Lytechinus pictus: one gene and its partners. The protein of the gene in region 3 binds, or shares a complex with, the protein of the main gene of each other region. Links are inferred from orthologs where the notes say so. Each region holds a gene or a part of one and is shown on either strand. Other genes may lie near its edges. The genes, in order: dynein regulatory complex protein 9-like, dynein regulatory complex protein 8-like, dynein regulatory complex protein 10-like and F-box and leucine-rich repeat protein 13-like.

Region 1 (7,560 bases), on a different chromosome or scaffold from region 3:
TTTGCTTTATTTTGTCTACCTTTTTACTAAATAAATCAATAGGCCCTATCCCTCTTCAGTATCCATTGCTTTATTTTGACGATTCCTAATTTACTAAATAAATCAGAATTGCATCTACTTATTTTCAATCTCTATTGCTTTATTCCGTAAACTATACTTTTCATATAAATAAATCAGGATTATATTCATCTTTTATGTTTCTCACAATATAAAATTTGCTTTATTTTGTCTACGTTTTTACTAAATAAATCAATAGGCCCTATCCCTCTTCAGTCTCTATTGCTTTAGTTCGTTGATTCCTAATTTACTAAATAAATCAGGACTGCATCTACTTCTTTTCAATCTGCTTTATTTCGTAAACTAGCACTTTTCATATAAATAAATCAGGATTATATTCATCTTTTTATGTTTCTCACAATATAAAATTTGCTTTATTTCGTCGATTCCTAATTTACTAAATCAATCAGAATTGCATCTTCTTCTTTTCAATCTCTATTGCTTTATTTCGTAAACTAGCACTTTTCATATAAATAAATCAGGATTATATTAATCTTTTTATGTTTCTCATAATATAAAATTTGCTTTATTTCATCGATTCCTAATTTACTAAATAAATCAGAATTGCATCTACTTCTTTTCGATCTCTATTGCTTAATTTCGTAAACTAGCACTTTTCATATAAACAAATCAGGATTATATTATTTTTCTCACAATATAAAATTTGCTTTATTTCGTCTACGTTTTTACTAAATAAATCAATAGGCCCTATCCCTCTTCAGTCTCCATTGCTTTATTTCGTTGATTCCTAATTTACTAAATAAATCAGGATTGCATCTACTTCTTTTTCAGTCCTTATAGCTTTATTTTGTTGTACTTTTTATGCTAAATAAATCTCTTTTCATATATATGTTTCTTATGATTATGCTTTATTTCGTCTATCACGTTTTTACTAAAAAATATAAATCAAATTGCATCTCCCTCTTAACAGTCTCCATTGCTTTATTCCTCGTGCTCCGAGTTCCCTCCCGGTGTTTAATAGAGTACTGTCCAATTTCTCATAGGAGGGGACTTGGATAACGAGGAGTACTTTTACTCGTCATCCAAGTCCCCTCTCCTAAAAATACAAAACGGCAATTAACCCGTTGATATTCATCTACCCCTCATTTCCCTCCTCTTCAAAACCACTCTGCCACTTTTAGACAGTTTCCTAGAGATGATAAATGAATATTTTTGATAAGAATCATTAAAATTAATGAAAATCACATCAAAAACTCTATTTAACTGTCTAATTACTCCTCGTGATCCGAGTTCCCTCCCCGTGTTGAAGTACTGTCCAATTTCTCATAGGAGGGGACTTGGATAACGAGGAGTACTTTTACTCATCATCCAAGTCCCCTCTCCTTAAAATACAAAACGGCAATTAACCCGTTGATATTCATCTACCCCTCATTTCCCTCCTCTTCAAAACCACTCTGCCACTTTTAGACAGTTTCCTAGAGATGATAAATGAATATTTTTTATAAGAATCATTAAAATTAATGAAAATCACATTAAAAACTCTATTTAACTGTCTAATTACTCCTCGTGATCCGAGTCCCCTTCCCGTGTTAAGACTGTCCAATTTCTCATACAGGAGGGGACTTGGATAACGAGGAGTACTATTACTCGTGATCCAAGTACCGTCTCCTAAAAATAAAAAAAACGGCAATTAACCTGTTGATATTCATCTACCCCTCATTTCCCTCCTCTTCAAAACCACTCTTCGACAGTTTCCTAGAGATGATAAGATGATGAGTTCTGGTCTGAGTGGCATTATGTTCACGCATGGGAATAGTGCCTTTTTCATTTCAATACATTGGCACAGCACATTGCACAAATAGCACAGACTCAGTTTTCGAACTTATCCAAGCTAGGAAGACAACAAGTCACTTGACTGCAGGAACAACTCTATTTTTCCAGTAGATGCGGTATAAAGGTATAAATGAATATTTTCGATAAGAATCATTAAAATCAATGAAAATCACATTAAAAACGCTATTTAACTGTCTTATTACTCCTCGTGATCCGAGTCCCCTTCCCGTGTTGAGACTGCCAATTTCCCATAGGAGGGGACTCGGATAACGAGTAATATGCTATCACTCATTATCCGAGTCCCCTCCTATGAGAATTTTGTAGTCTCAACATGGGAAGGGGACTCGGATCACGAGGAGTAATTAGACAGTTAAATAGTGTTTTTAGTGTGATTAATTTTGTTTTATTTAGTGTTTTTTATCATTGTTTCAACTTGGAAGAATATATACAGCCATAGCATAGGACTAGGTCTAGGAGAGAAAAGAAAGACTATTTTTGTCGTTTGAAAGTGTCAGGGTCAGTTGTTATTGTGTCAATGGGAAAACGTGTGGTGGAAGTCCCTGTTCAGTGAGAAGCTTCGCACCGTTTCGCATCGCGAATAGATTTCTTTTGAAATTGAAAATCTTCCAACCGTGGATTCCATTTATTTATTTGAAAGATTGCTGATATTTGAGATGTTTCTCAAGTTTGTCCCCAGTGACTTGGATGACGATAAGGCCTGTAAATTTATCTTTATTATTTCTTCCCTTTTAATACCCCGTCAAAGAGCAAAATTGGGCGCGCCAGCGCAGCGCCTGATCCCTGAGCCCTGGCCCGAGGCTGAGCTACTCAGGCTCAGCTAGCTCCACATGACATGCACAGCCGCGCAAGCGGGCCCAGCCCGGCCCGCGGAGCTCCAGCACGACAACGTCAACGGTCCGAGGCGCACGGGCAAAACTGTCGACTTGTCTTTCGGCTAAACTCAGTAGATCTTTATTTAAGTCCATTATTCAAAGACACATTCTCGCAGAAGTCATAGGAAAGAACATATTCTAAGTTATTAGAGAAAACCTACCTGTTATCCCTTACGCCAACACCATGAAATTGGGGAGATTTCCCAGGAAGTAGGCCTTTCTACCTGCTTGTTTACGTTGTTTCCAAGCTCTTCCAAACGAAGGCTCGATCAGTATTAGTATGTAAAAAAATAACAAGAGTCCATATGAATATCAATCTTGTTAGTAAATTACTTTTATTAATATAACATAAAATTTAAATAAATATTTTAGTTATTTTCATATCAAAATCATTTATATCAATAATATCTGAATTCAGATAATTTTACTATAGATTTGGCCTTTTTCTCCTCTGTTTCTCATACGAGTGGTAATGCACATTTTTACATGAAAATTCACACCTTCATACCCCCTAATATATTATTATACGTTCAAAGAATGAACTTTACTAGTTAGCTTTTTTATTTTACTTAAATGTCATATGTTCTACCATTTATGATTGCGCATTGAGAAGTAGATTTTGACCGATTGTGTGGAGAATACCCCCATGTCCCATCAACTCCTGTATGCGTTAGTACATGGACCATGGTCGACGTCATACGGGATTCTGTGAAGTGTGATGACGTTCATTCATTGCGTTTCCAAGAATCCCAAGTCGAACATCCAAGTTGGCAAATTCGACGGGGGGGGGGGGGGGGTGTCAGGAGGCATGGCATTTTGGCTCTAATAGTATTGTTTCTCACCAGCCGACTTTGTCGATAAAATTTCCTCACCACGCACCAGAAAATAAATGCAGAATTCAGAAATTGTAAGCAAAAAGTGCCGCAACAGTGCAGTAGCCACTGCAGTGACGGCCAACGGTGCATGGGCCTGGCAAGTCTCTCTGACTTTCTTTCGTCTCTGTCTGTCTCACTCAGTCACAGTCACATTTCAAGGTCAATAAGTTATGACAAAGACAATAATAAATAATAAAATATGCCCACTGCTTTTCAATATTGAAATCCGGAAAGGCTGTAACTAAGTGTAAGCTAGCCTAGCCTGTTATTGTGTAATTTGCCTTTACTTTAGTTTTTGTCTTCGAACTCGATGCGATGTCATTGTTCAAATTCTCAGTCAGATATGGTCATCGTTTATAAATATAGGCCCAAATGTGCTCCCAGCCATGCCAGCGTTCTTGCAAGGATTATTCTTACGCGTGTCGGAAACGTGCCGATTCGGTGGTGGCCAATTTTGCACGTGATGTTTTGATTTTCACATGCGCTTTAAATGATCCAAAGTCAAGTTTCATTGCCAATTCAATGTAGGCCTAATGTTTTAATCGGCGGCGCACACCAATACCTAAAATTGATATTGGCAAAAATATTGAAATGTTAAGTTGTTAATCTAAAAAATTTGGGGTCTTTTTGTCTGGAAAAATTAAAATATATTTGATATACCTCTCGTTGTGGACTCCCGTTCTCCAAGAAGAAATGTAAATCACCCATTAAAAACAAATAAAACAAAATACTAGTCACAAACATCTCAGATTAATGTACGATCTATCAGGACATGTTTTAACATTGTTTTGAGGTGTTGATGAGTTGAAATGTATGTGATATACCTTTCGTTGTGGACTCCCGTTCTCCGAGAAGAAATATAACTCGCGCAATATTCTGACAACGGCGGAAAAGAAAATAGAAGTCACAAACATCTCAGATTTCTTTGTTTTGATTTTCAGCTTATTTGGCCTTCCTCTGTACAAAAAGTATGGGAGCTCTTTCTATTTCAGACTTTTTCAACACTCTTCAGCTTTTTTCAGATCTTTTTATTTGTGACCACTCACACCCCTGAAAATCAGATGTAAAATAAGAAAGTTATGACATTTTTAAGTTTTGCTTTATTTCATATAACAGTTATATGCACATCCTGATCGGTATGCAAATGAGGAGACTGATGACGTCATCCACTCACTATTTCTTTTGTATTTTATTGCATGAAATATGAAATGTTCTAATTTTCTCCTGATTTTCAAGTGAAACAACGATTTATTCCCCCTGAACATGTGGATTAAGCATTGTTCAATACTATATGGTTCAGTCAAGTCGGTCCTTGTTTTTAAAATCTGTAAAAAATGAAACAACATATTATTCAAACAATAAAAAACAAAAGAAATAATGAGGGACATCATCGACTGTCTCATTTACATGTCACCGAGTTGTGCATATCAATGTTTTGTGAAAAATAAGCGAAACTTTAAAATGCCATAACTTTTTTATTTTACATCTGATTTTCATGAAATTTCACTGTTATGCTGGTTTGATTTTTTTCTATTTATTCAAATCAACATTTTTCTGGGGTGGACTTGACCTTTAAGCAAATTTCCCCACAATTTGCCCACCGCTTAATAAACGTCATCGTTTAAATTCTCAGACCGAACTAGAGGTGCTGGTCAGAAAATTGGGATCGTCCCAGTTTTCAGGGACTGTCTGGGTTTTCAAAGATTTCTCCACACAAGAAATTTATTTGTGTTCATTCACCTGTCAAGTGCTGACGCCAATTAAGTGCGCTAGTCAATGTAAACATATCCAGTTTCATTGGAAGATGGCAGACGGTGAACCAAGGGGAATTGAGGTCACTGAATCTAGTTTTGAGCACTCTCAATTAGAGCTCTGCATGTACATTGCACCATTGTATCGGCACAAGTTTGAATCTTACTCTTCAGAATACTGAGGCACACATGCGACAGATATGAAATAATGGCTCAATTAAATGTGTATTTTTGTTCCTTTTACATACAGAGTTATTGGCTGGAGTTGGCAAGATGGTAGCATCCAAAAGGTCAGTGTCAGTTTCCAAATTTCTGATGAGTTCCTTTCAAATTGTGAAGGCAGCAAGAACCTGTTTCCCTATCATTTTGTTTTATTTTAGTGAGCCCTTAGACATGCTCTCTTATGGAATATTGTGTACTCTATCTAAATGGGGTTAGTTAAAATGCAAGTATTTTCAACAGGCAACAGTGATAAGAGGGTAGATTGGGCTAGTCGTAATAATTGAGATGCGCAGAGTACGGTAATCATACTAAAGCTCGCATAAGGCAACTTTCAACAAGTCAAATGATTAAAATCAATTGCCCAAGTTAAAGCTGTATTCTACTGCGTATTTCAGAAGATACCTATGGTCCCAAGGCAGACATTTGTACATCACATTTTGGTATTTAAATTTTCTCTCTGTGTGACTTTACTTGTACTGTGCACAATTGTTGCTAACCAATCGCAGCTACCTTGAATTTAACTTGGAGCATAATTGATTGTTAAGTCTTGTGTGACTTGGTCTATGTGCAACACAGGTTATACAGCAGGGCAGTTTTCACGGGTTACAGGAGAGGACTCCGCAACCAGCATGAAAACCAAGCTCTTCTCAAGCTAGAGGGAGTAGAATCCAGAAGGGAAGCCACCTGGTATCTTGGCAAGAAGTGTGCCTACGTCTACAAGTGCAAGAAGTAAGTTCAATAGGATACTTCCAGAGATGCCATCTGGGGATTTTTTTTTTAATGAAAAATTGCAAGTTCCATGGAAATACCTTTTCCACAAAGTTGAATTGTATTATTCACAATGTCCTCGTACTGAAAATTAAAAATAATGTTTTTCTACCCTCAAACTATTGCAATTCATTTGACAAGGTTGGCATCTCAGTACTCAAGATGCAAGTGCTACAGAGCTGGTGTCATTGTCAGGAGCAGAATTTTCTTGTGACAGAGAGCAGTTGCAGGATTATAAGATATATTTGAAAAAATAGAAATGATTTTTGTCAGCCATGAATTGGGGAAATATTACCCAGTGAAAATTGCTTTTCTCAGTGCAGTAGTTGAATGGGGGAAAGTAGGCGTATTACAAAACTTGCTTGACTTTAGGTTTTATACAAGAATATTCCATGCAAAGTCTCATGATTTAATGCTCAATCTTTCAAAGTATGTGCAATGTAAAATGAATCAAGCAGTTAATATCGAAAGTCAATCATTAGCAGACCAAGCCTGGAGCATGTTTTAATGTAATCTGTGCCAGTATGTCTGGGAGAAGTAAGGAAGGGATATTGGTATAGACTGTTGAACCAGAAGTTACTCTGAACTGTATGAGCATGATACAGGGTGTTCGTTTGTGTATAAAAACCATGAGATGGAATAATTTTGCTTTACAAATTCGAGTAGCATTTTTGGTCATAAGAGAAAAGCTCTCAACTAAGTAATGTACAGTCCTTGTAAAAATATGCTATACAAAAGACTTTATGCATGGCAGTCTTTAAAAAATGTGGAGCGAATTGCGATGCGATACCAGGAAAATTATTCCCCTGTGAGACCTGGTAGAGTCCAGGTTTTAGAGAAACTATTGAAAACCCTTTTTAAAAAGTAAGACGATCCTAAGCTTGGTTGAATTTTTCTTGTTCGCCTTTTTTTTTTATCACATTCCATGACAAATCACAATGTGCGAGTCAATTAACTGTTTGTAAATTCTGTAAGACTCAATTTGTGACTACACTCTCCCTTTGATTTCTTCGCAGCAAGACGAAGTGTCCCGGCAAGGACAAGCCAACCAACACCCGTGTGATCTGGGGTAAGATCATCAAGACACACGGTAAGAGTGGCGGCTGCAGGGCCAAGTTCAAGAGCAACCTTCCCGGCCAGGCTATCGGCAAGAGGATTAGGGTGGTAAGTAGCTAGGAGATTTGTTTAAAAAGGGGGCAA
Region 2 (7,890 bases), on a different chromosome or scaffold from region 3:
CTTCAAATGCCTTGACAAGCTGATCCTCAGGGGATGGCTTGAATCTTCAAAGAAACATTTTCAAAAAATAAAAATAAGACGAAATATGAAAATGAAACACTGCCCAACACATGATGACATCCCCTGTCATTCCCATCTGTTATCTTTCTCTCTAATACTTGAACTTTTTAAACACTATAGAAGGAGCATCATCAAAACAATTTATAACGTTTATCTTTTACATTGATTCTTTTTGCTAGAAAACATTGTCATACAAAAATTTCCATCAAAAGATATAGCAGTTAGGGGTAAAAATGATAAATGTATTCAGATTATAGCAAGATACACCTGACCTGATGATCTTGATGATGACATTAATACAATTGTTTAGATAGTGACAATAAGTAAGAAAGAGGAGGAGAATGTCAGTCAGTTAACAATTTACATTCTGATTTAATGATGAGTAAAGTTAGGATATAAAGAGCACTGATGCACCTGCAACCCAGATTGTCATCCATCTCATCTATACTTCCACTCTCATTTAACTTACTTGCGTTCCATGAGAACTTCTCGCATGATTGGCTTGTAACGATCATACTTGATGTATCCTGTGGGCTCCTCCTCTTCCATCTCAGACAAAAGATCATGGAGTTCACCTTCACTAGGACAGCAACCTAATGACCTGATAATGGTCCCAATCTCCCTGTAACACATGAAGAAAAAAAAAAACAATCACATTAACAACATCACATGCAGTAATTAAGATAATCGCAAGTGTAAATATGACAACTACAGCAACTTGGAAAGTTGAATGTGAATTTATATGGTTTCTCAATTAAAATTAATATCATTATTAGCATACATGATTAATTGTAGGATGAGTATCCTGTTCTACATCTTAGTTTCTAATAAAAAACTGTTTTCACTTATGGTTGCACAACTTTATTATATATCCTACGCTTTCAGCCAATACTTCTGTCTATTACTGTTCAACCTAACTCAATAATAGTAAAAATAAGAGGAAGGTATCATTACTCCTGTCTGCAGGCATAGACCCTGAATAAATCTTGAATAAAAAAGAGGGTCTTGGGACAAGTCTAGCACTGCAAATACATCTTGGAAAAAAAAATAAGGGGGAAAAATCTAAAAGAATATAAAAGAAGCTATTAGAAATCATTTCTGACTGGTTGCCATTATAAAGCCAAGCAAAGAAGTTCTAAGTTCTGAATTCGGGCCTTTGATACGTAAGTCCAGTCAGGACTGTAAGGCTTCCAATTCAGACCACTCTTTCCAAGCTTATTGGTTTGTACAACTAACTACCCTACCTTAAAAAAGATTCCCAAAAGCCAAACAAAATTTTCAGGAAACATCAAATCAAGGTCCACCTGAGCATACATGTATCAATGAGAAATATGGTACTTTGAAAAAAGGTTTTTTTACTTTAGTGAAAGAATTTAGTCCAAAAAGATTGCCCAACATAAAGAGAAAATATATGAAACTAAAACAGGAAACTATACCACCCACAAGCTACAAACATTACCCAATTATCATATTCGATTCAATCAATATTTAATCATTTACTCACCTAACATCAACAGTCTTATTAGACTCATGGTCGAAGATATCAAATGCATCTGTAATTTTCTTCTGAATATCCGCAAGCAGTGATTCTGTGTTAAAGTTATTAAAAATATTACTTAGCGAAAATCTACCTGTAACTTTATTTAAATGTACAAGTTTGCTCAATCCCAATAAATGACAGTATATAGGGGTATCCCCATCTTGATTCATTCAACAAATCAACAATTTGAAATCCTATTTGATCAACTTCTTCAAATATTAAACTTTAGGAGCACCAGTCATCACATTTTTCTCTCATTGCTCTATTTTGGGGCACTATACCCCAAGTTACCGTGCACAAACTGATAACAGTGATATGGGAAAAAAATATTTTTGTGGATTTTGCTATTTTTAAGGAAAATTTATTTTTATTTATAGGTGTCCGATCAAATAAACATATGGATCGGAATTTGGTTCTTTCATATAAAACTTTTTTTAAAGATCTAAGTATATAATGATATGGAATGAAATTCCAGGCTATCATATACCCGTCATATAAGTCATACATTTGTATACAGTATAGACAGCTGGCAGCTGTCTGCTTCGAGGAGTTTAAAACATTTTTTAAAATTTCTCCTCATACACAGACGGCTCGCGATCGTGCAGCTGCCATTAGGGGGTTAAAAATGCAAAATCCCCCCCGATGGTGCTCATCGATTTTTGTCTTTATTTCATAAAATATGAAAAGAACTGGACCAAAATAAAGATTATTATTCTGTTTGGCCTTAAATGCACCAAAACGGGGAAAATAAATTTAAAAGGACACAAAACAGTGACTTACTTCGGCTGTCGCGCAACTTCACTTTCCTGGACCTGGTATATCCGAATTTAATACATAAACATATGATATAGCCTATGCCAAATATGGCCATTGATTGAGTCCCTGTACAGATCGAGTTAGAACTTCGGTCTCTGTAATTGGTGAGTGGAGCCAACGGAGTTCAGCGGAACAACCAACATAACAGAGACCGAAGCTTTTGGTCTACCCTTGGCCTTGCTTGGTGCGGTGGCTAGCCATGGGCTGCCAGCTGCCGCAGTAAAGTGGTAAGAAGCCTAGCGGACAGCCAGCCGCGGCTGGGTATAGGGGTACGGGCTAGTTGGCGGTACGGTACGTGAGAGCGGCTCGCTCCTGAGCTGAGCCATGCCAGTTTCCAAACACGACGAGAAATCAATTGCAAGTTTTTAAATTTACTTCATTACAGATATACGTGGGTAACGACATTTTTCTTTCTACCAATTCCCAAAATAATTTTCAAAGTTCATTATGTTAGAAATATAGATGACCAAGCTAAAAGTAAACGATATTTACCAGCACTTTCTTTTTCTTCTGCCTGTGCCATTTTGAGCTAGCCGATCGAGAGATTGTTTACATATACATCATATGCATGTGTTGCTACCGTACCGGCAAACTAGTCTGCATGCACAGACTCTGATTAAATCTTTGATCAACCAGTGAGTTTTCACACAAGACTAGCAAATAAAAGTGTTGTTTTGGGGTTTTTTTTGTCCTGTTTTGTTTTTGTTTTTGAAATTTGTTTTCTCAGTGCGTAGTTGCGTACCTCCCTTTCTGCTTTGCTATGTAAGTAAAAAATATAAAAGTAAAGAAGAAAAAATATAAGGAAAGATAAAATGTTTATAACATAGGCGGATCCAGGGGGTGGGGGGGGGGCTCGCATCAATGTTCAGTTACATAGCTATCTTGTTCACCATTAAAAAAATCGATTAAAATTTTCCATTCTTTACCTTTTCAATATCAGTTCAAAACATATATAAACATTTTATGCTCGCGCTTTGCGCTCAAATTATTAAAGGGATGGTCCGTGCTGAAAATATTTATATGTTAATACATAGAGTAGAATCATAGAGATGTAGTATATATCTCTATGAGTAGAATTCACTTCGTATGGTCCAACAGCCATAGATCGGAATAATTTGGAATGAAAATATAACAGAATAATGATCAATTTTCTTAAAGGGATGGTCCGGGCTGAAAATATTTATATCTTAATACAGAGAGTAGAATTCTCTGAGCAAAATGCCGAAAATTTCATCAAAGTCGGATAACAAATAATTAAGTTATTGAATTTTAAAGTTTAGCAATTTTGTGAAAACAGTCGTCATGAATATTCATTAGCTGGGCTGATGATGTCACATCTCCACTTTCCGTTTTCTTATGTTATATACATAAAATAATATTTTTTCATTATTTCATACTTGTGTGAATAATATATCTCCCTTATAATGAAATAAGTTGTAGCAATAAATATCTAATGCACTAAATCAGTTGTCAATCCAATTTTTCTAGTTCTTGGAGGAAAAAAAATTGAATAAACCTAATTTCATATAATAAAATACAAAAGAACAAGTGGGGATTTGACATCATCAGCCCACATAATGAATATTCATGACGATTGTTTTCACAAAATATTGCTTAACTTTAAAATTTAATAACTTTGTTTTTTTTTATCCGATTTTGATGAAATTTTCGGCATTTTGCTCAGTGACTTATATTTTATTAATTAAGGTATAAATACTTTCAGCCCGGACCATCCCTTTAAGGTAAGATCCCCAATTATATACTCATCCTTTTCATGATTTACAAAACATGAATAGAGTGTCTCGTTTTTAGGTCTAATCTCGAAATTTTCCGTTCGCGCTTCGCGCTTGCATCAATAATCTTCACTGTTTAAATTACAAAAAGTGCTTAGAATTTCCGTTCTTTAGGTATAGCTCACGCTTCGCGCTCGCATTATTTTGATTGTTAATGAACTGGAATACAAATACCCTCTGTCCTCTTTTTTCTGACTCATTAATATGCAAATGCCGTCCGCCGGGGACAATAGATAGTAAATGCATTTGCATATTAATGAGTCAGAAAATAAATAATTAAAAAATATTAATGAGTCAGAAGAAGAGGATAGAGGGTATTTTAATTCCAGTTCATCGTTACTTAGCCGTGAACCAGAATAGCCTGGTGGTTGAGTCGCTGCCCGGCAAGCAGTAGATGACAGGTTCGAATCCCATGCACTGGTTCCAATTTTTTCTGACTTATGATTTTCATTACAGATCGAGCATGCGATCTTGAACACATGGGAGCTAAAATGCCGAAAATTTGTTTACAAATTATTATTACCTCCGATTAAAGCTTCTTTATTCACTATTGCCCAGAATGTTCAAATTTTGTCACAAAATACATAAAATGAAATAAAAATTAGCTCGCGCTCGCATTGCAGTGCGTATCAAAAAAAAGTTTACACTTTGAAAAAGCCCTGGGAATTAAAAAAATATACAACATGTGGGTATTTTTTTCACAAATATTCTTGGGTTTGGGTCTCATCTATCCAATGAAAGTAAACATTTTGACAGAATGTTACACTTGAGTGAACACTGTCCATTTGTGTAAAGCTCGCAGAAATCTGTTTGCGCAGACATGCTCATTTTCACGCTGTGTCAAGGGGAAAGGGCGAAATCAAACTTAACCTGCGAAATATTTCTCATACATTTCCCTTGCACTTTTAGTAATTGAAATAAAAGGGATACATTTAAGCATTTTGTAACAATTTTGCCACCCAAATTGAAATTTCAACACTTAGTAAGCACAACCTTTACCCTTTTTGTGCCAGCTGGATCTGAGGAAATAACTGAATCTGAACAAAAGTTTATATCAGACATCTCCAGCATTTTTTCACTAAGTTTTTATCATTTAAAGTGGGTTTACATTTCATTTTTCATTTAATACTTGTTTCTCCACACTTTTTGCAAGCTTTACAATGATTAACAAAATGAAATTCAAGCCTACGCCATTTCAAGTAAATCACAGCTCAGTGTAAAGCAAATATCGTCACGATGGCCTTAAGGGTGTGTGGGGGATTAGGTTGGGGCGCAATGCACTCTTCAAAGTGTTTTGGGCAAGGAAACAAGTTAAAAAAGGTAAAAGATATCTTCAAATCAATTTTACTAGCTAAATTTAATGTGTTATTCATGATTAAGGTCTACTTTTATTCGCATAACTAATTTTAAAGTTCTGCGCAAATCATTTTTCACTAACTTTTCAAAAGTAAGTGGTGCTCACTCAAGCGGAAATATTTTTCGACAGTTCGTAATTTGCTTAAATGGATCTGTACCAATGTTAAAATGTGGAAAAATCTTCAGGATATTACAAATGTATAATTTTACAGGATTTTTTCTAAGTGTAAACTTTTTTTTATACGCACTGTATAAATAAGGATTATGATATTATTTTTTTTATGTTGATTTATAAGAATAAAGCTAAGAAGTGACTATTAGGACTACCACTTCAAATAAACAAAAAATCATCTTCGAGCGGCCGATCGGGGAAAATATGGCTGAGAAAATGTCCGCCCCCCTCCCTATTGGCAAAGGCTGGATCCGTCCCTGCAAGACATGCACAAACCCCCAATCAAGTGTATACATGCAGCTATTATACACAGCTGTTGTGTATTATGATAATTGGTTTAATTTGTATCTCGGTTGGCACCTAAATTATGACTGTCAACTACCAAATCAATGTTCGTTTCACTTTTTCCTTAATCGAAAAAAAAACTTTACCCCAAATCATATGAAAAAAAAAACAAAAAATGAACAAATCAGAACAGGTGTGTACGCCGTTCAGGGCCCTGTGAAAGATTTTTTAATACTGGGTTGTTGTTTGTTGGAAATTAATGGCGACCAGTCACTGGGGTACAATTGCTGGAGTTTTGTCGTCAGAAAGAATTCCGACAAGCCACCCCCCCCAACAAAAAAGGGGGGGGTTATTGTTTACAAATCTCCCTCATTATTTTGGGGAGTAATAACCATTTATTATTATTATTAATATTTGTTTTGCCTATTTGTCAACCCGGTCTGGGAGGTGCTGTATACACTGTAAAAACGCTGTTTAAAATTTTAAGCAAGTTGTTTAAGCCTGTCACTCTAACAACTACCGTTTAAACTTTTTAAACAGCTGTTGAAACTTTTTAAACAAGTTGTTTAAAGAGTAAATTACAGAAAAGTTTATACAACCTGTTGTTAGAGTGACAGGCTTAAACAACGTGCTATTTTTTTTTACTGTGTATGGTATATGCATGCAGCATCCCTCCCCGTCCGATCCCCGCTACCATCCAGCAGTGGCGGTTTATTGCCATATACTGCCAAATGGTCTAATGTCATTTCGTCTACCATCAGTTGGTCCACTATCCATTACCATTTCGTCCATTTACCATTTAGTCCAATAGCCAGTTGGTCTAATAACCATTTCGTCTATTATCGATTGGTCTAATAGCCATTTGGTCTATTGCATTTTTGCCAATTGGCCCAATAGCCACTTTGTCCATTTTTATTACGTCTATTACCATTTAGTCCAATAATAATAATAATAATACTAATATGTCCATTTATATAGCGCAGTTACTATGTGCATATACTCAACTGCGCTTTGATACTTGGTATAATATTATGATAACTAAGCCGCCATATTAATAGGCGATAAAGCGTTCAAGGAATAAATCCTGCCGGGTACCCATTCACCTCACCTGGGTCGAGTGCAGCACAATGTGGATGAATTTCTTGCCGAAGGAAATTACGCCATGGCTGGGATTCGAACCCACGACCCTCTGTTTCAAAGTCCGAAGACTAATCCACTTTTATAGGCCACAACGCTCCACGATAGCCAACTGGTCTAAAGGCAAATGGTCTAATCCACTTAGTCTACTTTTATTTCATCTATTCCCAGTGGCGTAACTACGGGGGGGCATGGGGAGCACGTGCCCCCCCCCCCCCAATCGGCTGGCCAAAAAAAAAAAAACGGGGAAAAGGAGAAAAAGAGGGAGAAAGGGAAAGAAACGTAGTGGGAAAGAAGAAATTATTGTTAATTATAATGGTATATTATATTATGATTATCTTATGTTATATTACATAAATAAATTATAACTTTATGAAACATAATTTGCACAGGGCCTAGTCTTCATTTTTCCTGGTGCTCGCATTGCCTGTTTAACAATATATATAATCTTCTTGTACTAAAACCTCCCGTTTTCAAGTCAATATACACCAAATATATTTTCTTAGACTTCGAATTATTATTGTTTTATGTAGTGACATATACTTTTTTTTTCATGACTACTTAAAGTGATTGCCCGATTTTAAGGTCTTAATATAAACCATTTCCTGTCCGTACTTACGTTCGCATTCGTGGATTGGTGAGATATGTCTGTTCTTCATGAATTTTCTAAAATCAGTCCTTAAAATGTCCCTTTTTCTGATCTGAATGTAAAAAATTTCAGCTTGCGCTTC
Region 3 (7,593 bases):
GGTATAATACATATTCTGTTTGAAAAAGACTAATATAACATGTAGAATTTTTTTAAGAAAGAGAAATTTTTGAGTACCAAATGTCTTCAACAAAATACATTTTATTCTTGGATGAAATAAATAGAAAAAAAAGGAAAATATCAGATGGGCTACATGTATTTTGAATTAACTGATTTTTCCCACTGCTTTATATCCCAAAATCTACAAATAGATGAAAATCGTCCTCACTTTTCTCAAAGCTAACTCGCTCTCTCTGTGCTCTGATGTCTGATTGGTCAGCTGGGTACGTAGACCCTGAAGATCAGAGTGTAACTTGGTCTGTTTGACTTCAGAGTTCTTGAAGTCTGCCTGTTGCTGTTTGTCAGCTTCTGATTTAGTTCTCCTGATGTGCTCCTCAGAGAATTTCTCTAACTGGTGGAGGTCGCCCTTTAGTCGACGAATTTCATCATTTTGTTTGGAGATCTGTAGAACGTAAAAAAAAAAAAAAAAAAAAAAGTAGAACAATAAAGAATATTTAATCTAGTGATTTTCCTTTTTTGACAATAAAATTGAAAATTATGATTTGTTTTGTATGGGCAATATACTGCCAGTGTTTAGCTCTGCATGCCACACACACACACAAAAAAAAAACAATAGACAAGGACAAGGCAATTACTTTTTTTGAAAGCATTGATCATGTTTCAAGTCAGCAGTCAAAAAAATATCTAATGTTGTGTGAAAGGTATCCAAATCTCAAAATAATTTGACCAATTTAAGACAGTTTCTGCAATTATTTTTAAAGAAAAAAGTGATGATAATATATAAACAAAGTGAAAAAGAAAAGGAATAATTAGCAGTCTAGTAGCAGACCAAAAGCTTCAGTCATGGTTTCGTCTGCTGTTCCACTAGACTACATGCACTGTACCGGGATCTTGCTTTTATTACACCTCCTCCATTGGAGAATCCAAAAAGACCCTCCCCCAAAAAACAAAGTTTTAAAAGCCCTTCAGACAGGCATAATTCAATACTAGTAGGCTAGATCTACTCAATAGCAAATAATGGAAGAGGGAAGGGGGCTAGAAAGAGAAAGAATAGGATACAAGTAGGTAGAGGGAATGTCAATTAGAGAAAGAAGAAAAGAAGTTTCGAATCTCCCCTTTATACCTTCATGTCTTTATCTTCAATTGCCTCCTGTAGCTCAGCAGAAAGTTTCTTGATGACATCAGAATTCTTATGCTCCCTGATTGTGATCTCCCTGAGATAATCTGTTTTCTCTTTCTCTTCCAAGGGCGTGGTAAGCAGTCTTTCCAGAATAAATGATCTCAGATCCTTCATGTATCCAATCATAGAACTAGACTCTGGGCCTCGCTCTTTGATCTCAGACCTCAGGGCATTGACTGCTGCTGGGTTCAAGCTCAGCAACCGCAGGATATTTCTACATGAAAACTTCAACTGCTGCGCTTGAACATTCACCATTTTTGAAAGCTGCACTTCTTCCTCATCAATAAGTGAAATTGAGTCAACTTTGTCTAATCTATCGGATGGAGTTTGCCTCCTGCTCTCAATCATCTGAACTTCATCATAATTATCTTCATCATCATTGGTGGGTTGTATCTCAGACTCAGCTGCGCGTGCTGCTGGGGTAGATTTTCGAGACTCGACTTTGTCCATATTTTTGTAATCGCTAAGTTTTTTTGCAGCATCTTTAAATGCACTCTGGATCTTTTCATGCTCCTGTATAGTAACAACTGTCTCGATACCAAGAACAACGCTGAAACGATTGACATTTTCACAAGCGTAAGGTAGCAAGCTTACAACCTCAGCATTCTTGATGCTCTCGTCCAATACTGCCAAAATTCTTTGTGATTCAACTGTTGTAAGTTTCTTCCTTCCAGGGTCTAGGATACGTAGAGGATCGGTTCTTTGGTTCTTTGATTCCTTTGGCTTATTCGGTTTGTGTGGTTTGACCTGTGGAAAATCTATGTTAGGTCTTTCTGGACGTTCTTTTGGACCCTCAGCTCGAACCTTGTCGAGCAGACGAAACGTCTCCATCACAGCCATGTCGGCGAAAGACATCTTGCAGCTCGTTACGTATTTCCACCTCTCGGATAAAAACTACACAGATTGAATTTTAGGTAAGGTAATTAATTTGAACTCTCAAAAGTTTATGCAGAATTCCACATTTGTTTCCACAAACACTTGTTCTTTCCTCCTGAACCTCCAGCACTCTCGATCTCATAGACAACACACGTAAATAGAGTAACCGCACCACAAATCTTGTTTGTAAATATTCCTCCGCGAAGGGAAAATGAAGCCTCACATAATTGCCGTGTAAATCTGTTCCGATTTTGAGTATTTTCAAATCTGCGAAAATTCGATGACTTTACATTACAAATGGTAATGAAAAATAGTAAAGCTTAACAAAATGGTAAGTTTTTAACATGAAATATTATCCATCCGCTTGCTCGTATTTGTGTAATACGGTTTCGTTGCTTGGTGACTTCCGAGAAAAGGTCGAAAGGGGTCAACTGGTGTAGCGAAATCTCGCCAAATCTCACCTCGAAAAGCGAGAATAACAGCTGACGGATGTAAACATGGCGGAATTGGAGGACGACCTAAATCGTGTCTCAGTAGAACTTGAGAGTCCTTTATTGGCTGAACAACAGCCAAGTCAGAGCTTTAGAACAGTTAGGAGTGGTGAGAAATACTTCCTGTAGATACATGTAGTATTTGAAGTCAATGTGACAGTCGTGATATAGGTTTAATTGCGTTTTAATTGACTCAAATTCAACTCTTCGGCGTCTGCTTGTGTTAATGCACTGCACTGCATTGACAATCCCCTTGTCACTGACACTGTCTGTCTGTAGCTGCGACTCGGCCCTGCGCGCGTTAGCCGTTACGAATTACCCAGGGGCCGATTGCACGAAAGGGTCTTTCCAAGGACCGTCTTTCGTGTCGCCCATCTTTTATGATGCGCTATAAGCGGGGTGTTTCTGAAATTTATGATAAACAAATAAAATTCGTAAGCTTGCTTTTAAATCAAATTTTATACAATTTCATGAAATATCACATCATTTTATAAACAAATATTTTGTTTATTTTAACGGAAAAATAAAATATATTTGCAGATAATTTATTTGAAATGCGTTTCACATGGCGTATCATAAAAGATGGGCGACACGAAAGACGGTCCTTGGAAAGACCCTTTCGTGCAATCGGCCCCTGTGTTTGTTAGAGTTAGACAGCAAAACAATTTGTCTGGAGAAATTTTAAAACGTTTTTTTTTTCATTTTGGATATGGAATAGCCAGTGAAACATGAAGAATAGAGTTTAGACTCTAGTCCAGTGTATTGTAAAACCGGTAAGCAGCTAGCAGAGACTGAGTTGAGCTGAGTGAGAGAAGTTTTTTAGTCTTTTTTGTACTGCCTACTCTCTGGAAAATTGCCGCTGCGCACCAGTATTTATGCACCTATCAATTGTATGACGCACCCCCCGACCCCCGGGAAGGGTGCGTCACTTGTCAAACGTGAGTCAGATTTTATGGTACGTGGTGTGGTGCGTGACGCACATGTGTGTCTTAACAATGACGCACCTTTACTTACAATGACCCTGCCAAGAAAGAAAAAAGTGACGCACCAGTTCAAGATTTTGACCAACCATGACCGTCTCCCTGACGCACCTTCGTCAGAGTAAAAAGTCAGATTCAGACTAGACTCTGAAGTGTGATGTCTCGTGCGTGCAAGTGCTGCGTGGGCACAATCGAGCTAAATGCAATGGAACGCGATACATGTATTTCGCTATAGTCTCTGACAATGTTTTCTCTTCAATACAACCTCGTGGTGATAGCAGAGGCCGAGGCGAACTCAAAGGGAACGCTTTCCTTTCCGACGATGTCGGGAATATGCGCCATTTACATTTCTTCTCGGAAATCAAGGCCAGGGTTCATGCGAAAAAGTTCATAATATAGATTTTAACTCGTTAGCACCTCAAAGCAATTTTAAAACATATCCCAATCATTCGTTCATTAATCTGAGATGTTTGTGACTTCTATTCTGTTTTATTTTCCTTTCCGACGTTGTTGGAATAATTCGTCAATTATATTTCTTCTGGGAGAACGGGAGTTCATAACGAAAGATATATAAAATAAATCTTACACTGTCAAAAACGAAGTGCTAATTTAGCACTTAAAGTGCTTGTATAGTGACTGCACTACGAGTGCTGATTTTCTAGTTTAAATTTGAACGAGAAAATCAGCACTCATGCTCATAGTGCAGTCACTATACAAGCACTGTAAGTGCTAAATTAGCACTTCGTTTTTGACAGTGTAACTCGTTACACGTTCAAAACAATTTAAAAACATTTCCTGATAGATCGCCAACTAATCTGAGATGTTACCAACTTCAATTCTGTTTTATTTTCCTCTCCGAGGTTGTTGGAATAATTCGTCAATTATATTTCTTCTGGGAGAACGGGAGTTCATAACGAAACTTATATAAAATGTCTTAACTTGTTAGCCGTTCAAAACAATTTTAAAACAAGTCCTGATCAATTGCCAACTAATCTAAGATATTTCCAACTTCTATTTTGTTTTATTTAAGTTTCCAACATTTTCGAGAAAATGCGTCTAATATTTTTCTTAACAGAGAAAAAGCGGTCATAAAGAAAGGTATATGAAATATGTTTTAACTCTTTAATTCCTCAAAACAATTTTAAAACATGTCCTTAGAGCGCCAACTAATCTAAAATGTTACCAACTTCAATTCTGTTTTATTTTCCTTTCCGAGGTTGTTGGAATAATTCGTCAATTATATTTCTTCTGGGAGAACGGGAGTTCATAACGAAAGATATATAAAATATAATTTAACTCGTTAGCCATTCAAAACAATTTTAAAACATGTCCTGATAGATTGCCAACTAATCTAAGATGTTTCCAACTTCTGTTTTGTTTTATTTACATTTCCAACATTGAAGAGAAAATGCGTCTTTAATATTTCTTAATGGAGAGAAAGTGGTCGTAATGAAAGGTATATATATGAAATATATTTTAACTCGTTAGCACCTCAAAATAATTAAAAAACATGTCCCGATAGATCGCCAACTAATCTGAGATGTTACCAACTTCAATTCTGTTTTATTTTCCTTTCCGACGTTGTCGGAATAATTTGTCAATTATATTTCTTCTGGGAGAACGGGAGTTCATAATGAAAGATATATAAAATATATATTAATTTAATAATTTTTGTATCACTGAGGCATCATGACGCACCCAGGTAACATGACTGACATTAACGCACCCCAATCCTCAAACTGTGACGGACCAAATGTTTCTATGACAGTACCCTGCTTCACTAATTTGTTGGTAAATGACCCTACCATGACACACCATTCCCGGGGGTCGGGGGTGCATCTTACAATTGATAGGTGCATTAGTATTAGTATACTAACCTCGCAATACATGTGAGTGGCTGCGCACTAGCCTTGAGGCTACAAAATGCCATTTTGAAGAACAATTTATAGATAAAAATGATTATTTAACAAATAATAAAATTTAATACGTGAGTATAGATAATCATAATAATTATTTATAAATAAGTTTCAAATTTCATTATTTGTTAAATAATAATTTTTATCTATAAATTGTTCTTCAAACGGCATTTTGTAACATCGCTTGTCGAAGGTACGTCATAATGAAGTGGTTCAAGGGTCAAGCCTATTGTATTTGCATTTTTTACAAATGGATTGAGGGATCTACACGAGATCGGTCTGGTTAGCCAGGAGGCTTCTAGAGAGTAAAAATCATTTACTAACGTATGCTTACTCTCCACGAAGCCAGGGATTCTATTGCATTCATCTACACAGCGGTGATTTGAAGCCAGTTCGCAGTACCAAATTTGTATTAATTCATCGCCGAATCCAAAATGGCGAACGCGAATTGCGCATGGGTCATGCGCTTTACAAGAAAGGGCAAGGAGTGGGTCCCGGGGGGGGGGGGGGGGGGCACTCAAATTATTTTTTGATGGGGGTGTGCCTCATGAAATCATTTAGGGTCAACAAACTTTGGTAATGTTGGGGGTATTTGTGGAATTGTCTATGGATTTAGTTCATGAAACCTGGACATAAGAGCAGCAGTGTATCCCTGAATACCCTGTGTGTGTTTCAGGAACATGGCCAAGGTCCAAGGTCATAAAGGTCAATGAACTCTGGCCGTGTTGGGAGTATGTGTTGAAATGGCATCATAACTTACGAGTTTATGGTACTTGCTCATGAAACATCGACATAAGGGTAATCAAGTATGAATGATAGTTTTGCACAATCCTTAGGACACATGATCATGGTCAAAGGTCATTTTTGGTCAATGGACATAATATCTTTTTTTCAAAGGAAGCACTGCTGCTATTTCGAATTACGTAATGCAGGCGAGACTGCCAGAGGCGTTCCACTTGTTTATATTTTTTTTATTCTAGCTGATTCTGCTTGATTCTTGCTGATCCAAAATAAGTTTAACAGGGCCTTGACAAAAGAAATTGAACAAGGGCTTATGGAGATTATCGGGAAAATATGAAAATGAAAGACAAAGAAAAAAACTCATACAAACATAAGAGGGGATCTCTCATAATACAGACCACTAATTAATTTCCTACTGTTATAATATGAATATTCCTTTATTGCTTCTGTTTAAATTACTTTTTTTTCTTATATTGAGTACAGTATGTAAAGTGTACCTCTCAATGCTGTGGTGCCCTTCTGAAATTGCCAAGGCACACTTAAAAAATAATTGAATTCCATGACTGTTTCCATGTGCCATGAAAAACGTACTTTACCCTCACAATAAAGGGCTCAGTGCAAGGGCTGGTTGCATCAATAATGTGCACATTCAGAAATTGTAATATTGAGGGCAATACAACGATTTCTACAAAAGAAATAGATGAAAAGCAAAATAAATACATCAGAAAATTGAGAAAATGATGGGAAAATACAAGAAAGGATGGGTAAAAAATGAAAAAGAAGTAAGAGCTATTAAGTAGAATGATGGAAATAGATAGGATGATGTGAAAACAGGGATACACAAGAAAAATAAGAAGAAAGGAACACATTAAGAAAGGGGAGATGATATAATGATAATCTATTGAAATTGTAATAAAGATATTTCAAGAATAACTGAAAAACAAAGATTTATTTTCACTATCACTATCCACTGTAAGTATTTTATTTCTGAATGTTCAAGAATCAATTATTGTAATTTCAAATGGACATGTGCACTATTTCCCGTTATATTTCCAGACTATCTGAACAATGACTCTGTTGCTACCAGCCCAGGTTTTGTCTCCAGACAGACCTCTTCACTCTCTGTGCCTGCCATTGGAACCTCCCAAGACTGGGAGCTCAACTACAGAGAGGCAGCCATTTATCTTCAGGAGGGGGAGAATAATGACCGATTTGACACCCATCCAAGGAACCAAGATGCACTCCCAGCCTATGTCATGGTCCATAACTTTTACTTTTACATCATGGACTTAGCAGCAGCCATGTTGGTGCTACTTCTTGCGTTGGTTGAAGAGCCAGCTGTTGATGCACTACAGCTCCAGCCGATTGTAAGTGTATATATATATCCCT
Region 4 (7,678 bases), on a different chromosome or scaffold from region 3:
GCTGTTCCCCCCCCTCCCGGCTGTAATGTGGGTCAAAATAACCCAGCTCTAATAGGTTTTAGACCCAAGACCCAAAATATATAACATACCTGAGGACACCCTGACATATCAAGATAGACTAATCTCCTTCCTCCTTTGCCAGTCCCAAGATATTGAAGCCCTTTGTCACTGTAACGTTTGCAATATGCAAGGCTCAAGTACTGTAGGTTGCTGCAGCACCTATATAAACAAGTCATTGTAAAAACGTAATTATAGTAATTATAATTGCTATTAAATATCGTGCTTAACACTTACTTTATCAGAAGCCTCTAAGCACTCTACAGTTAAAATGCAGCATAACCCAGGCTTTAGCAGAGCAGCTGTTATGTGCACTGCATCCAAAGGAAAAAACTCCTGCCAGGTGCCCATTTACCTCACCTGGGTTGAGTGCAGCACATTGTGGATCAATTTCTTGCTGAAGGTAATTACGCCATGGCTGGGAACTGAACACTCTACCCTCTGTTTCAAAGTCCGGAGAATAATCCACTGTGCCACAACGTTCCACATATAATTGTCAAACCTGATACATACTACGCATTTTTCAGAGTTAGATAAATAATGCAGTTGACTGAATGCTTTAAAATCTTTTGATGAATGAAACAATTTTAGTCCTGCAACCAAATCTACTTTTGGGGCCCAACCACGTTTTGACATTCATAGTCTTGTGTGTTTCAAAGGATTATGATTGCTTACACATATTTTTTAAATAATATTATGCAATACGAGATATGGCTGCCTTTGCCTTTTAAAATGTATAATTTAGAAGCATTCATGTCCTTTGGTTAAGGCTTTTTATTTACATTTTCAACTCTCCACCCAGGTGTAGAAAATCAGTACCTGGGAGGAAGGAATTCCTTGAATGCTCAAAAGGGGGCAAACATTGCATTAAAGCGAGTAGTCTTGCAAATATCAAGACAGAAATAAATCAAGGCATGAATTATACACATATACATGTAGATGTATTTACCTATTTACCTATGACAAATAAAGAACACATTTACCTGGCTAATAATCTCAGTGTAGCATCTGTGATGTTGGTGAAGGAGACATTGAGATAAAGTAAGACAGAACAACCTTCGGCTACATACTTCATAGTATCATCATTCAGTCCTGGACATTCTGATAAGTTTAAATCCTGCAAGTTACGACATTGACCTGCAAAAAGAGAATACATACTTGATATCAATAGGAAATGGGGAAGGGCATTGCAAAATGTATTCCAGAGTCTTCAAGCTTCTCAGGACACAAACATATACATTTTTTATTAATAAATAAAATTGTAGTATAGTAGTGTAAACAGAAAAAGAAACATCATACAAATTATACAGTGTACAACAAAAACAAATATTTTTGTTGAATAGTTACAGAATGATAGTGAGTTATTATACAATTAGTTATAAATTATACAACTCATACAAAGATTTTTGTTATTTGATTATTTTTTAAGTTGCGCTTTGTATCCTCTAGTGGTTTTGACTCTTTATGTTTCAATCTGAGGGATGTGGGTTCGATTACAAGCCATGTCATGTTTCCTTCAGCAAGAAATTTACCCACAATGTGCTGCACTCAACCCAAATGAGGTGAATGGGTACCCATTAGGAAGAGCTTCCTCAAATGCTTGAGTGCCTAGACAGCCCAGCTAAGGCCGGGGCAATAATAATAGCAGGGCCCGCTGGGAGAACAGTTTTCAGAATTGTAGTGGCTACCCAGGGTAACCATGCTGTTAGTGGTAAGAATCCAGCTATTAATATACAAATAGCGAATAGGCATGAGTGCAATGGTGCGAAATTTCACATGAGGTGAAAGAAAGATCCTCTATTCAACGAGGCATTAGCCTGAGTTGAATAGAGCGTCTCTTTCTTTCACCGAATGCGAAATCTCGCACCATTGCACGAATACGAATATTCGCTATTTGTGTTGTTTAAAGCCTCAGAATGAAAAGGGAGCAAAATTATTAAAAAGCGAAAAGCAAAATCCCACAAGCGCACGTGACCTTGGGCAGCATTGCGCATTTAGCCAGCAGGCTATACGTGTATTGCACCTTAATTTTTACTGAGCGCAATGAATTAAATCGTATTGTGACGTCAACTCCTAAAGCCGTGCAACGGTACATTTTGGATGGTACGTCATGTGTGCAACTGTAAGAATGTTTGACATTCAGCCTCCCATTTGCTCGCGTACAACAAGCTAAGTAGGCGTTGTACGATAGTAAATGCTTACCAATGGCTTTGAAGCTTGGTTTGGTGAGCATTTTGCATCCTTTGATGTTGAGATGAACAACATAGGGCCTGTAATGCTGAAGGAGACTTGTCACTACATTGTCAGTCACACTGCCAAGGGAGAACATTGAATTTAAATAGAAACAAAATCTTTAAAGAAGACAGGAAAACAGAATCCCAACATTTGGCAAATAATATATGTTTACACACCATTGAGCTTCTATAGCTCGGCTCCAGCCTGGCAAAAGAGTCCATCTGCAAATTCGCCCCCGTAAAAAACTTTTTGAGAAAATCAGTTTTTAAGTTTGAGCATTTAATCTACTTACAGAACAATTGAGAGTTAATTTTAGCTGTTGGACTCTATTCTATCACTTAGTTTACCTTTGGAAGATTATCATTATTATTATTATTATTATACCCTTGCTCACCAGAATTGTGTAAAGGCTTTGAAGCTGTGATAAACAAACAATAAACAAAAAACAAAGAAACAAACAAACAAACACACTTACATGTTCTTTGTCTTTGACAGGTCAACCTGTGAGGAAAAAATTAAAAGAGGGAAAGTAATGAACTTACAAAATAAATTTAAGGTGACAGGTGCCCTAATTTTTTTTTTTTTTAATGATTTTATTTTTTTGGTCTCCTTTGCTAGTTTCATGTGTGTACTTCATCATGCAACTTGTTTTATCTCAATATTCTACCTCTTTTTTTAATAAGAGGGGGGTTAAAACATATTTTCATAAAATTCTCAAACCGGAAGTAGTATTTTACACACCGGAAGTGATTAAATCTGTCCCCAAAACCTTTGATACTGCCTTAAAAAAAATCAGAAAATCCCCAGATTTTTTTTGGCTGAAGCCCCAGATATTCCATGTAGCAAAGTGGACTACCACCCTCTGTTGGCCAAATAGGGAGAGCTACTGTATTGCACAATATGGCAGCGACTACAAGTTACATACACTATGTGACAGACTTGGCGCGTTACAAATGTCCGTTATTATTAGTATTATAGCCCTTTCTTTATCGTGATATTATACAAAATTGAGGTTTTTTTAATGAAAAATGTAATAACTCGAGTTCTAATCATTGGATTTGCATGAAATTTTGTAGAATTGTGTATCTTGAAGAGTACAACAAAATAATGATAGTTTTTGTGCATGGTACCCCCACAGGTGGAGTTGTGTATAAAAGTCCTTTCTGAATTTCTCATTATCTGACTGCTTGTTTAATCCATAATTTTTACAATTCTACTCTGAATATTTCTTAAAGCCATCATAAATTCATCACAAAGAAGTCAGAGAATTAAATTAATCCATCAAAACTTAAATTACACTCTATGTTGTGAAGTTATAACCATAGAAAGTTCATATAGAGAAAAATCATGATTTTTAAAGTCATGACTTTGAATGACCATATTTTGCTTATGCATAAAGCTAATATGCCACAGTGCAAATTTTTGTGTAGATCAGCTCATAAGCTTTCCAAAAATATATAGTTTGTTGGGGTACAGGTACTTAGTAAGAATCCTATGCTTGATTATATACCCGTAGTCGTTTCCGCACGGTAATAGGGCACCTGGCACCTTAACTTTAACAAAGGCACCAAACTTTGAATACTACTTATACTCTGGCATTTCCCTTTTGTACAGTACTTGTAGTAACTTAGGATCTCTTTGTTGACTTCATTTACATCAATATTTGTAGTTAAAAAAAACATATAGGAAGCTGTTCTTCTGAGTATGTTACAAATTGGCAACGAGGATGCTCAGAAAAGAGTCTACGAAAGCCTTAAAGTCTTCATTTTGCTGGTCAAGGGACTGCTAATCTGTGAGACGAAAGTTTGATCCTAATTTTGAGGTCATAAAGTGACATTTTCTGGTTAAAGTTGAATTAAGAAGGGGGTGAGTTTCCATAAATATAGGTTCTACATACAATATATAGTATATATAAGTTGTTCAAACAGATAGCATGTCACAAAAATCCTCTGCCTTCTCGATATTTTGCTTTGAAAGTCTATGAAATTAGCCACCTGTCAGAGCCCGAGAGACGAGTGTACAGAAAAGTCACTCGGAGTGTGACGTCACCGGGGGGAATTTAGTATAAGAGGTGCCTGAATGTCATACAGAAATGCTATGCAGAGAGAGAAAGATATTTTACAAATTTTTTTCAAAGCAACTCAAATCAAACAAATATGACTGATATGTACAAATCTTTACTTTCCCTGTATAAAAAACAGTATGAATAACCACCATGAACTCTTCAATCATGATGTAAGATAGCAAACAGTGAGTTATTGAATGATATTTTCATTATTTCTCATTTATTTTATCACGATGTTCAATCAAGTGAGTAGCTGGAAAGTAATTCCGGCGGCGAGCTCAGCGCGCGCTGAACGCATAATACTAGTACACACAACACCCAGCTAGGCATTGAGTGTACTGTTATGGTCTGGTATGTCGACTTAGTTCATGGCCGTGCAGCGATCCCCTGGCGTTTTTTCTTCTTTTCTTTTGTCTTTAATTGACTCCACTTTTATATCCTCTGGATCATTTCCACTCATAGCTCATTCCACAGAACAATCTTGAACCAAACGTATAGTATTCTTTCTCGGCCTTCTGGGTTGTTTTCTATATTTAATTACGCTAGGGGTCACCGTCACACATACAAACGCAATTCGCAAGTGAGTTGAAGACAGAAAGATATATATAGTAATTAGTATACATCTCTATGGTTGAAGACAACAAGAACGGTGCGGTCGCTCGACAGCTAGCTGCGCCGGAGCGGGCGGCCGGTCGGCACAAAGCAATTCCGCAACCAACTGTGTTTTTTTTTTCAAGAGCCGCGTCACACGCGGATAAATATGTCATAATAACACGTCTGCTACGTTATCGACTGGTGAGAAGATCTCGATCAAATTTCATATTATTCACCTTGAAATTATTCCTTTAGGGTCTATGGTATCATTCTGAGGGAATTCACATATTTGGAATAATAGTACGGCCACAAATATTTTAATCATTTCCTCTTTGCAAGTTCTATGGCTCGCAGATACAACTTCAACTGCAGTTATTCCATATGAAGGAGTACGTGCATAGTACACAAAACGGCACTGCTTTACCCCCCGGTGACGTCACACTCAAAGAACACCCGTCTCGGTAGGCATTGCAGGAGCGAACTCAGGGAAAATGGGTAGGGATAAATCGTTCAAATTCACTATTTTGAAAAAAGAAAATGGGGGGTCGAATCACCTATTAGTGTTTGGGGGGTTGTAAGGTTGCTATTAATGTAAATATCTCAATATTTGGAATCGTCTTCTTAATTCAACTTTAAAGTTACCGTCGTACAGTTGATGGAACTAGGAAGGAAGTCTTCGTGTATTCGCACATGGTATTCGCACGTGTATTCAGTCAATGCGTGATACAACATGGCGACGCCCAGTGGCTATATCGGACGGCTAGGGAGCTTTGAGAAGGCTCGCGAACCTTTTACTTCATATGTCGAACGTATGGAACTGTTTTTCATGGCCAATAACATCGTTGAAACTTCCCAGAATGCTGAATTCGTGAAGGAACGGAAAAAGGCAATTTTACTAACTGAAATTGGAACAGAAATCTACGTAACCCTCGCAAATTTGTTAGCGCCTAGCAAGCCGAAAGATGCAACATTTGACGACATCATCGATAAGTTGAAGAATCATTTCGATCCTAAGCCGTTAGAGATAGCTGAAAGTTACAAGTTTGGAACAAGAAATCAGAAACAAGGTGAAACAGTTGGTGAGTTCATCATTGCCTTAAAGAATTTATCCTTACATTGTAATTATGGATCTTTCTTGAATAGAGCTTTGCGAGACAGATTTGTTTGCGGGTTGGCTGATGAACAAATTCAGAACAAACTGTTGAATACTCAAGATTTAGATTTTGATAAAGCCTGCCAAATTGCGTTGTCGATGGAGATGGCATCAATAAATGCTCGTGAACTTCGTTCTGTTCATAATGCTGGAAGTGTGAATAGTCAGAAAAGTTACACCCGTAAAGCTAAACCAACTAGTCGTGGAGGTAAACCCAAACCCTCTAATGCTGAAAGTAAAAAGCATGGAAACTGTTATCGCTGTAATTCCAGAAATCATCCACCTCAAGAATGTCCAATTAAAGGTTCACAATGTTTCAAGTGCGAGATGAAGGGACATATAGCTAAAGCTTGTAAGTCAAATAGAGGAAAGACTAGTGTACCGAGTAAAGGTAAATCGCGTCGAACTGGCGGTAATGCTGAAGTTCATGCGTTGGATGAAACTGATGATCTAGAGAAATCTATGCAACATAATTCGAATTTGTATTGTGTGTATGCTACAGATTCGATCAATAAGTTTGAAACAGAAGTTGTAATCAACAAGAAATCCTTGACTATGAGGATTGACACCCAGGCAGATTGTTCTATTATGAGTAAGGACACATATGAGAGAAACTTCAGTGATGTACCTTTGAGACCAAATTCATTAGAACTCAGAACATATTCTGGTCAGCAGTTGGACTTGTGTGGTGAATTTGAATGTGAAGTCACCTATGAAGGGAATAAATTGTTGTTGCCCATGATGGTAACAAGCTACACGAATCGTCCTACACTGATGGGTAAGAACTGGCTGACTAAGTTGAAGTTAGATTGGAATAACGTGTTCCATGTTGAGTCTTCAAAATTGCAGAGTCTACTCCGACAGTATAGCGGAATGTTTGAAGACAGCTATGAAGGGATTTCTGGTGTGGAAGCGCATGTAAGAATCAAGGAGAATTCAACTCCAGTCTACTGTAGACCGCGACCAGTACCGTACGCACTGAAAGAAGAAGTTGAGAAAGAGTTAAGAAACCTTGAGAAAAACAAAGTCATCGTAAAGACAGACTACAGCGACTGGGCAACTCCGATCGTAGTGGTGCCGAAAGCCGATGGAGGTGTTCGTCTTTGCGGAGATTATAAGACCACAGTCAATCGAGCAGTTGATGATGAGTGTTATCCTCTTCCCACATCGCAGGATTTGTATGCAGAGTTGGGAGGTACCAAAGTTTTCTCGAAGTTGGATCTTTCTCACGCGTATGCACAACTCAACTTGGATCAGCAAAGTCAGCAGTATCTTACTATCAACACGCATATGGGATTGTATTCCTACACAAAACTACCATATGGAATTAAGTCCTCACCGAAGATCTTCCAAGCGACAATGGATAAGATTCTTCAAGGTATCCCCCATTGCTTGTGTAATCAAGATGATGTATTGATAGCTACAACCACAGTGGATGAAAATCTTGATGTGCTCGCGCAAGTATTGAAGCGTTTGAATGATCATAATGTGAAGCTAAAAAGGAGCAAATGTGCCTTTGTGGAAGGTGAAGTGGTGTACCTAGGGTTGAAAGTAAGCTCACAGGGGCTTCAACC

Evidence for each region.
Region 1: dynein regulatory complex protein 10-like (region 3) and dynein regulatory complex protein 9-like share a complex: the UniProt entries of both Homo sapiens proteins name them as parts of the nexin-dynein regulatory complex. The link is inferred for Lytechinus pictus from reciprocal best matches to the Homo sapiens genes DRC10 and DRC9.
Region 2: dynein regulatory complex protein 10-like (region 3) and dynein regulatory complex protein 8-like share a complex: the UniProt entries of both Homo sapiens proteins name them as parts of the nexin-dynein regulatory complex. The link is inferred for Lytechinus pictus from reciprocal best matches to the Homo sapiens genes DRC10 and DRC8.
Region 4: dynein regulatory complex protein 10-like (region 3) and F-box and leucine-rich repeat protein 13-like share a complex: the UniProt entries of both Homo sapiens proteins name them as parts of the nexin-dynein regulatory complex. The link is inferred for Lytechinus pictus from reciprocal best matches to the Homo sapiens genes DRC10 and FBXL13.

The regions. Positions count from the first base shown.
Region 1 is NC_087260.1:6,704,295-6,711,854, forward strand, and holds the start of dynein regulatory complex protein 9-like, read right to left. Parts: upstream 3,022-7,560; 5' UTR 2,906-3,021; intron 1-2,905. Other genes in the region: large ribosomal subunit protein eL33-like, read left to right, coding at 5,644-5,660, 6,169-6,321, 7,377-7,524. UniProt on the Homo sapiens protein: Component of the nexin-dynein regulatory complex (N-DRC), a key regulator of ciliary/flagellar motility which maintains the alignment and integrity of the distal axoneme and regulates microtubule sliding in motile axonemes.
Region 2 is NC_087251.1:23,720,489-23,728,378, reverse strand, and holds the start of dynein regulatory complex protein 8-like, read right to left. Parts: upstream 3,020-7,890; 5' UTR 2,940-3,019; coding exon 2,909-2,939; intron 1,650-2,908; coding exon 1,565-1,649; intron 683-1,564; coding exon 530-682; intron 45-529; coding exon 1-44. UniProt on the Homo sapiens protein: Component of the nexin-dynein regulatory complex (N-DRC), a key regulator of ciliary/flagellar motility which maintains the alignment and integrity of the distal axoneme and regulates microtubule sliding in motile axonemes.
Region 3 is NC_087246.1:4,178,327-4,185,919, reverse strand, and holds the start of dynein regulatory complex protein 10-like, read right to left. Parts: upstream 3,010-7,593; 5' UTR 2,677-3,009; coding exon of another isoform or gene 2,574-2,676; 5' UTR 2,056-2,573; coding exon 1,144-2,055; intron 463-1,143; coding exon 229-462; intron 1-228. Other genes in the region: two pore channel protein 1-like, read left to right, coding at 2,574-2,676, 7,261-7,571. UniProt on the Homo sapiens protein: Component of the nexin-dynein regulatory complex (N-DRC), a key regulator of ciliary/flagellar motility which maintains the alignment and integrity of the distal axoneme and regulates microtubule sliding in motile axonemes.
Region 4 is NC_087249.1:13,414,531-13,422,208, reverse strand, and holds the start of F-box and leucine-rich repeat protein 13-like, read right to left. Parts: upstream 3,019-7,678; 5' UTR 2,917-3,018; coding exon 2,768-2,916; intron 2,370-2,767; coding exon 2,260-2,369; intron 1,195-2,259; coding exon 1,041-1,194; intron 220-1,040; coding exon 90-219; intron 1-89. Other genes in the region: uncharacterized protein K02A2.6-like, read left to right, coding at 5,682-7,678. UniProt on the Homo sapiens protein: Substrate-recognition component of the SCF (SKP1-CUL1-F-box protein)-type E3 ubiquitin ligase complex.